2 linked regions of the Daphnia pulex genome follow. The protein of the gene in region 1 purifies or fractionates together with the protein of each later gene. This does not show direct contact. Links are inferred from orthologs where the notes say so. Each region holds a gene or a part of one and is shown in the gene's direction. Other genes may lie near its edges.

Evidence for each region.
Region 2: the proteins of tubby-related protein 4-like (region 1) and RING-box protein 2-like purify together in Homo sapiens (co-immunoprecipitation; 3 studies listed by BioGRID and IntAct, with this or other methods). This does not show direct contact. The link is inferred for Daphnia pulex from reciprocal best matches to the Homo sapiens genes TULP4 and RNF7.

What each region holds. Positions count from the first base shown.
Region 1 is NC_060028.1:910,095-914,614, reverse strand, and holds the start of tubby-related protein 4-like, read left to right. Parts: upstream 1-1,448; 5' UTR 1,449-2,010; coding exon 2,011-2,109; intron 2,110-2,853; coding exon 2,854-3,099; intron 3,100-3,225; coding exon 3,226-3,354; intron 3,355-3,508; coding exon 3,509-3,562; intron 3,563-4,142; coding exon 4,143-4,250; intron 4,251-4,315; coding exon 4,316-4,520. Other genes in the region: uncharacterized protein LOC124208674, read left to right, coding at 182-476, 576-686, 762-907, 968-1,139, 1,217-1,317. UniProt on the Homo sapiens protein: May be a substrate-recognition component of a SCF-like ECS (Elongin-Cullin-SOCS-box protein) E3 ubiquitin ligase complex which mediates the ubiquitination and subsequent proteasomal degradation of target proteins.
Region 2 is NC_060024.1:9,938,655-9,942,974, reverse strand, and holds the start of RING-box protein 2-like, read left to right. Parts: upstream 1-1,405; 5' UTR 1,406-1,518; intron 1,519-1,683; 5' UTR 1,684-1,706; coding exon 1,707-1,875; exon of another isoform or gene 1,876-2,402; coding exon of another isoform or gene 2,403-2,681; intron 2,682-2,753; coding exon of another isoform or gene 2,754-3,583; intron 3,584-3,642; coding exon of another isoform or gene 3,643-3,766; intron 3,767-3,831; coding exon of another isoform or gene 3,832-4,320. Other genes in the region: tyrosine-protein kinase Shark-like, read right to left, coding at 1-36, 97-340, 424-611, 689-853, 919-1,056, 1,135-1,246; facilitated trehalose transporter Tret1-2 homolog, read right to left, coding at 2,403-2,681, 2,754-3,583, 3,643-3,766, 3,832-4,320. UniProt on the Homo sapiens protein: Catalytic component of multiple cullin-5-RING E3 ubiquitin-protein ligase complexes (ECS complexes), which mediate the ubiquitination and subsequent proteasomal degradation of target proteins.

The sequences.
Region 1 (4,520 bases):
TGGCCTTGAGTCACGACTGATGTTCGTGTCCCGTATGTGTTGGCCTTTTTCCCCCCTCTCTAGCCGGCGGCTGGTTCACAAATCGATCTCTTATCTCATGAATCGATTCTTTCACGTTATATTCTTTTTCTATTCTCTTTCCAGATTGTGAACGCGACGTAGTGTGTAACCCAACAAGATTATGGAAGCTGTAGAGGATGAAGTCGAAAGTGGAAGTGAGGAAGAGGTCGATAGTGGAAGTGCGGAAGAAGTCGAAAGTGGAAGTGCAGAAGAAGAAGAAGAAGAGGAGGAGGATGAAGAAGAAGAAGCCGTAACAAATCCGGCGGTGGAGCAGCTTCAATCAGAAGTAAAAGAATTGCGTAGGCAGCTGGACGAGATCGAGCGCGAAAAGAAAACGGTAATGAAAAGGACACACGACCTGGAAGACCGTCAAGTGAAGAACTGGAAATTGATTCAGGAGGCGACCAAATTCTCCGGTTTGTTGTTGTTTTGTTTGTATTTAAGAGTAACACAAATTCCAAGTGGAAAATTTGTAATTCATTAATCATTATTTTGTTTTTGTTTTTCCCACGCAGGGGTGTCGGTGGATAAATTGAGCGATAATTCGTGCACGTTCTATTTCCATCCCATGTACAAGTCCGCGTATTATGACGCGTACGCCATGACGGTGAAATTTACCAAGAAAGGTATTTCGAGCGATTAAAATCTAATTTCATTTCTCGATTGGGGTTTCAAACTCTGTTTGGCGTGACGAGTTGCAGGTTATGAAATCGGCAAATGTTATCTACCGGAATCGATAGACGAGCTCGATTTGGATCACACGAAGCCTCTGGAGAAACTCGTTTGGGACATATCCAAGCTGGTCGATTGTTTCACCAATCGGCAGCAGCAAATCGTTGAGCTCGAGGCAAGTTTCCAGTCGAAATTGCATGCCAATATTAACATGTAATCAACTCTTTTCTGGCAGGAATTATTTGGAAAGAATTCCGATCGATCGGTCAATGCTAGTTGCGATACATTGAAAGTGATGGTTCAAGTCAAAGCCTCGGACGAGTCTGACAAAAATTTCAACGTTAGTATCTCGCTCAACTACAAGTCAGATGAAATCCTGCCGTACAATGTCGATTTGGAATTCGAAAGTAAGACAAACAAAGTTGTGCCTGTTGTAATCTAAACTTTAATGATTCATTCCGCATTGTCGAATGTGTCGACACAGAAACACAAGATTTTTCGGACGAGACCATGGCCGATTTCGAACTTCACTGCAATCCGTTTTTCAAACTTCCGCTGCTCAAGGCCTTCCAAGCAGCTTTTTAAATTCAAAAGTAAAATTGCCTTAATTTTTATTTTAACTGAATGAAATAATCCGTTTTTGCTTTTTTAAATTTCGAATGTCAAGTTGTCGTGTTGTTTAATAGATGTCGCTGGAAGAGAGCGACGGAATTTTCGCTTCGTGTCGTGTGTCGACTTTTCACTTTGATAGCGCGCGCCGAGGATGCGCAGAATCGACGACGCCGGCGACGTCTTGAGAGAGAGAGAGTGATCCCTCCCCCTTTCTCCTTTTTCCCCTCTGTCTCTTTTGCCCACCCCACCCCCCTCTCCCGCACCTCTTCAACCGTGAAAGGCACACAGAAATGAACAGGTTTACAGCGTCGGCGGGTAGTTGCGCAGAGTTGCCGACGGGTCAACACGTCCACGTAGCCCGTCAACTCTCTCGTCGCATTTCTCATCCCATCCTCTTATTTTTTTTATTATTATTATTATTTTCTCTTATCTTTGCACATGTTGTCAGTTTTCGTGACGCGATAACTGTAAAATATTAAAAAAACAAACAACAAAAAAGGACAAATTTAAAATTTTGGGTCTGCGTGGATTTCAGTTCCGTTTCGAGTGTTCCGGCGTCCAGTCCTAGAAGAACGGTGTGTGTATTTCGTGTAGTGTGTGTGTGTGTGGTGTGTGTGTGTCCCATTCAGGTGGTGAAGTCAATCCGGCCCGGCCGAAAAAAAGAAAATGCACCTGCATTTCGAGGAGCCCAGCAGCCAACTGCGTTGCGATTCGGTCATCAATTCACTTTCGTGGATGGGACGTGTCCCTGACGAGCAGCCAGAGGTACCATTTTTCACGCAAACTTTTCTTAATTGGTTCCCCAGTTGATTTCGTTTCACACGAGAAGAACCGAAGGCGCGAGAAAAACAAAAAGAAAGAAGGCTCCCCCCTTTCCATCCGAAAAAAAAACTTTTGTTTCCTATTTCTTCTTTTTCGTTCGCCTTTTGTTTCACGCTCAAGTGGAAGAAGGAGAATAAGAAGAAAAAAGAAGAGAAAAGTAGGTTCTCTCCCTTCAACTGTGTTGGCGGGTTATGTGGAGGAGAGGAGGGCAAAGTTCCGATCAATACAACGGACCGCGCACACGAGCCCAGCACATACTACACACTCGGTGTGTGTATATAAATGGCTCTATACAAGGACGGTCGATTGAAAGATGGGGTGGACATTTGAGAAGGGGGGGGGGGATGGCCTAGGATTATTATTATAGAGGGGGAAAAAATGATGATGACTTTATCGTACATATAGAAAAATAACATGTGCAAAAGCTCGATCCTTATTTTGGTGTGTGGGGGGTTTCTTCTCGCCATTGCAGCTATTTTTTGACAGACATGTATAAATAGTGTTATTGATTTTCGTCATTAAGACGTTGATTGAACGTGTCTGGTTGAGCGTGACTGGATTGCATCCATAGCCAAGAAGAACTCCTCAATCAAGGGGGATATTGTGTTGGGTTTCTCTCTTGATGACGATGATGATCATTTGTGTGTGTGTGTTGACAATTCGATTCGAAATGGAAATATAAAAAAGGGACACGGATGGAAGCTCAACCGAACCAGCTACTATCAAGAGGGCTGGTTAGCGGCTGGTAACAACCGGAGCGTTGTCGGAGTCACGTTCACCAGCACGCTACCTCATCGCGTCAACAGCGGCCTCGGCTCGTTCAATCCGCCGACGGATAATGAAATATCCGGCAGTCTACCGCTTCCGCCGGCTCCTCCGCACCTTCCACTGCCTCCGCGCACGAATTACAACCTCCGTGGACATCGTGCCCAGGTATCATCTAATTGGATTTATTCGTTTTTCTTTTTTAAAAAATTGGATTGAATTCCGGAACTAGCCGGAAGGATCCGTAAAATTTGGTTAAACTTGAAATGTTTAACTCCGTTTTGAATTATGTAGATCAGTTTAGTGAGATGGAACGAGCCGTATCAGAAACTGGCCACGTGCGACGCATCCGGCATCATCTTCGTCTGGATCCGTTACGAGGGCAGATGGTCCATTGAGCTCATCAACGATCGGAACACTCCGGTAATTTCATCCGCCCATATCTCTGGGGCTCTTCTTCTCATTATTTATACTACAATGCTTATAATCTCTCCCGTTTCTCTCTTCTATTTTCGCTCGCCTATCCAATGACGATCATTAATTCACTATTCCGGCGTGAATACATTGATGTATGTAGGTGACCCACTTTTCCTGGTCTCACGACGGTCGCATGGCAGTCATCGCTTACCAGGTAAAGAAACACAACGCAAACAAACAAAAAAATACAGAAATAAAAAAGAGAAGCTCAAAACCAACACCCCAACCCGACCCGTAAAACCAATAAAGTTCATTGTCAATAAATAAAAGTCAACGATGGATGGCCGTCGTAGTATAAGAGAGTGAGGTCTTGGTCGCGACTACGACCCTTTTCTACTTCAATGTTGTTGTTGAGGACCTAACAAGGGCAGTAGATATATAGACCGGGCTCGGGTGATGGGTTGACAGAGAAGCTTTTTACGTAAGTATTGATCATGACGTCAAAGCCTCCTGGATACATGTATGGGGGTTGGGGAGAGAGATCGATAAGAGAGAGAGGGAGAAGGAAAGAGCCGCGTCGCAAATTGGATCACGGTCTCTTCTCGAACAAAAGCCCCCAGAGAGAGAGAGTTAGAGACTTTCTCTCTCTCTTCGTTCACTAATATCTTTTATGTGTACCAATCCTTCTTTTTTTGGTCGAGTTCCTTTTTTTTTCTTTTTCTTTCTCTCGTTGGCTCCTGAGCTCCTGAGTATTAATGGACGTCGTATGTTTCGGTTACCTCCCCGTATAACAGGACGGATTTGTTCTCGTTGGTTCGGTGGCTGGACAGCGCTATTGGTCGACGATCCTTAACCAGGAATCCATCATCACCACCGGGACTTGGACACCTGACGATCAACAGGTTTTTCTTTTTATTTTCTGATTTTTGTTTATTTTGGATTAAATTATCATCGTCGAATCCAACAGGTTTATCTGGGCACGTCGAGTGGATCAATCGTCGTTTTGGATGTGCACAATGGGGCCGTGATAGCCCAAATTCAAATGTCGGAGCCGTCGAGTTCCCTGTCGCCCGGCTCGGTATCGAGTAGTGGCAGCGCGTCAGCAGCAGCAGCCAATGGCATCCGCCAGCTGGCCTGGAATTGCCCTCGATTCAAAATGGAAGAACCGACGT
Region 2 (4,320 bases), on another chromosome or scaffold:
CTTTTCTGGTGAACGGAAATGGAGGTTTGTAGGACTCTGTGATAAAACAGACCAATTTAAGGAAATCCATCAGCTTTGAAATAATGTGATCCATACCTAATCGTCGTGCGCATTGATAGAAACCATTTTTTCTAGCTAAGTCAGCGGGAGTTTGATCTTCTTTAGTGCGTGACAATGGTGTTACAGACATTGCCATCATGATTTTCACACAATCGAGATGTCCTCGACTAGCAGCCTCGTGAAGGGGAACCATTCCGGTCAAACGGTGTCGGATTTGAGGGCTAGCTTTGAACTCCAGCAAAGTCTTTAAGCATTCGTGATGATTGTGTATACAAGCATACTAAACAATTCAAGAGAGGTTAATCATTAAATAAGCTACAGGGAAGGGTATTAATAAATGATTTAACTACTGTTATTAATTACATGTAGTGGAGTGAGGTCTGCATCATCCTTAACATTGACATTTCCTCCTCCTTGGATAAGAAGTTTAAGAATCATATTATTCCCCAAAAAGGCAGCTAAATGGATTGCAGTCTGTCCAATTTCGTTCTTAGCGTCGATACTCCTGTAGGAGCCACCTCGAAGTAATTCTGATACTACAGTTAGGTTGCCTGTTGAATAATTGGTAGTGACCTTGATACTTGATACTAAGGGAATCTCAGACAGATGAAAAATGCTTGGCAATCACCTTCTTTGGTAGCTCTATGCAATAGATTACATCTTCCATGACACCTTGTATCAACAGGTGGCAAATCTTTTTTGCAAGGTCGGTTAAGTGGTCCAAAAATAGAAGAGCCCTCTTTCTGACAAAGAGTAATGAGAGCATCAAGGCCATGAACAATGTATCCATCTTCTGCAAGGGGACAAAAAATTTATAATGAATGTAAATTAATGTAAAAAAATGCTTCAATGGCAAACCAATTGAAAAAAATGCATCAGCCCCATGTCGATTTATTTGGTAATGCCTGGGCTCTCCTTGGTGACGAACACTTAATATGAAAGCTCCATCAACTGTGGGGCTCTCTCTCACCAAAAATAGTCCTTCAGAGTCATCTTCTGCAGGCATAAATATGGAAAAATAAGATCACAATTTTAATAGATAGGCTACAAAAAAAAATATTATTTTAAACAGACCATTAGTAAGTAGAGCTTCAGCCTCTTGCCTGTTGATTTTCCCATGAAACCACCTTAGGTCTTGGTCAGTTTCGTCTCTTGAAGGTCGTCGAGACATGGTATTGAAATTCATTTATAAAGGTTAAAAGAGCTAGATTAAAAGTCAAAATTTTTCTTCATGTTATTTTTATCAGAGAGTAGTCAAAGGGAGTTCCTTCCTGTCAGTGGCTGAACCAAAATTGAACCGAATATGCACTTGTGATTATAAGTCAGCTGAGCGAGCGCCGAGCGGGCTAGCAGACGACATAAACAATATCTCAGCATACAATTCTGAGAGCTCCTTTGCTGTGGTTTTCAATTTTTTACTGGCCCAAAATTCTGTGTTCATAATTCATATAGCTAAAAGTAAGCTTATTTTACCCATTCTTATCTTTTGATTATGTACCTGCATTCTATTGTGTATAGTTGTCAATCATATCCAATCAAACCTTAATGCAACTATTGCTTTCACTTCAATATGTCAGTCAATGTTAAAAATCATGTTAAATGTTTTTGTTTATTTTTTTACAGGTTTTTTTATTCTACTGCAGAAAATGGCAGATGATATTGATATGGAGAAATCAGTGGAAAAAACCACAGTTGGTAATGACTGTGTAGTCAAAACTGAAAAGATGTTCTCATTGAAACGGTGGAATGCAGTTGCTATGTGGAGCTGGGACGTTGAGTGTGAAATTTGTGCCATTTGCAGAGTTCAAGTTATGGGTAAGTCCCAATTTCAATATGTTTGTTAAGAAGGGTTAGAGACAAGAACTATTTTAAAGGAAAATGTTTAAAATTTATTTGTGGTTCTGGTATATTTACATTTCACAAAATATTCAGAAATTATCTGGTTTTCACATTTTCAACTAAATACTAAAGGGGTGGGGTGTCGGCAAGGTTGTAGTTATGGGGGTTGATGAGAAGTTTACCATTTTACAATGTTCTGTACCCTGCCTGATGTAGTAATGTACATAAATATTTTGGAAGATAAAACAATTAGAAAAGATTCGTAGTCTGCTGGGTATTAGGAGAAACAGTCGTATTTATAAATAACGAATCCTAATTGTTCTATTCCTAATTATAAGGCTATCTTTAAACTTTCCTGGGAAGAAATAAGGTAGAACAGAACAGATCATTCAGAGATTTGAGGAATTGAAGACATCATTTGATTAAAGAAAGGAATAGTCTTATGTACAAAAACATTGTCCGCACTGTTAAGACGTCCAACGTTGAAAAATAATTGGTCGCCTTTACAGCCTAGTAGATTCGATATCTTTTTTCGGTTTCTTTTCAAGCATACTTTTCTCGATACTCTCCAAACTGTGTCCCTTGGTCTCTGGTACGAAGAAGATAACGAAAAAGATGCTGATAAAGCAGAAGAAACCAAAAAACCAGAACGCTCCATGGGCGCCGATCGTCGCTATCAGGTCGTTGAAGAATTTAGTTACTGCGAAGCTGCAAGCCCAGTTGAAAGCTGTAGCTACAGATGCAGCGTGACCACGAACCTTGCTTGGGAAAATTTCTCCCATCTAAATTAGCCAAATAGAAATTTTGTTAGGATTGAATTTTTTTCAAACAGCCATCACATTTTAATAACGTACCATAAGCCAAGGGATAGGTCCATAACCGATGGAAAAGGCGACGATGTAGACTATGAATGTAGTCAGTGGAAGCCAACCGACGTGTTCGAGATCATGTTCAAGGTGTTGCAGAATGAAGAAGACTCCCAATGCGCCGAGGCTGATTGCCATAAAGAATCCGGATATGTTGAGTAAAACTTTACGGCCTACTCGGTCGATGACCATATTTGAGCCCAGTGTAGCCATAAAGTTAGCCAACCCAATAATGATGGAAGAGAGGTTGCTATCTACACTTCCGCCAGATTTTTCAAAAATAGACACGGTGTAAAAGATGACCGCGTTGATGCCAGAAAGTTGCTGAAAGAACATGAGTCCGAGTGAAATGAGTAGGGGCCGTAGGTAGGCAATTTTCAAAAGTTCTCTGGCTCCACCACCGACGCTCTGATTCTTGTAATTGTTTTCAATTTCGAGAAACTCGTCTTGAACGTTAGTTTTGCCCCCACGGAGCCACTGTAGAGATTCGCGAGCTTCGGTATAACGGCCTTTAGAGATGTACCAACGTGGTGTTTCCGGAATGAACCACATGAAAGCTAAAAAGGGTAGAGGAAGAGCTGCTCCGATGGCCGCCAATACTTTCCAGTCGATGTAGGAGCCCAGAATGTAGCAAAACAAGATGCCTATGTTGCCTATCGTGGTGGGCAACAGGCCCAGCGATCCTCTGACCTCCGGTTGAATAGTTTCACCCAAGTAGATGGGCAGCGTCAAGGTAGTAAGGCCCACGCAAAATCCCTGGATTGAACGTCCGGCGTAGACCATGGGCAGGTTTGTAGCAAACGTGATGAGTAACCAAGCTAGATGAAGAAAGCAAATATTAATATTTTGAATTCAATGACACTGTTGCGTTACTTACACAAAATGTATGGTGGCCCGGTAGCCATGATGGTCGTCTTCCGGCCAAAATGCTCGACAATACTTCCACCGACAATGCCACCGATTAGAGCGTTAAGCGGCATTAAGCTCCCGATCCATGACGCCTAAGAATTGAATGATTTCCAGTTAGTTTTTGTTTGGTATTAGGGATTTTAGTCTAGTTACTAACCTCTTGGTCGTTTACGGGAATAGAACTGTTGGGTTGTGTCATAGAAGCTAGGGCAGGAGAAGTATAGCCAGATGAGTACCCCTCGATCAAAGCTGCTATGGCCAGGGCCAGCGAAGCCAACACTTGAGGGAAAAGCCTTCCACGACTTTTGCGACTTGCGGGTTCCATTTTAAATGAAGGATCTGGGAACGTAATGATCTGTGAGACATTGGACAGCCTATCGTTGTCTTTATTTTCGTCGGGATTTTCCATTGCCATATTGTCTTCTTCTTTCGAGTCAGCTGGCATGATTGGATTCAGAGCAATCAACGATTCGCTGACGACCATTGAAGTGGAAGGTATAGCTAACGGGTCTTTTGAATCGGAATTGTTGAGTCGAGCTTGAGCCAACGTTTCAGCCAGCTGTTGGTAAACTACGGAAGTTTGATCGACAGTGGCTTCGCAGCTGGAACAGGAATAGGATCCAGTGGAATTGTCATCTTTAATCCA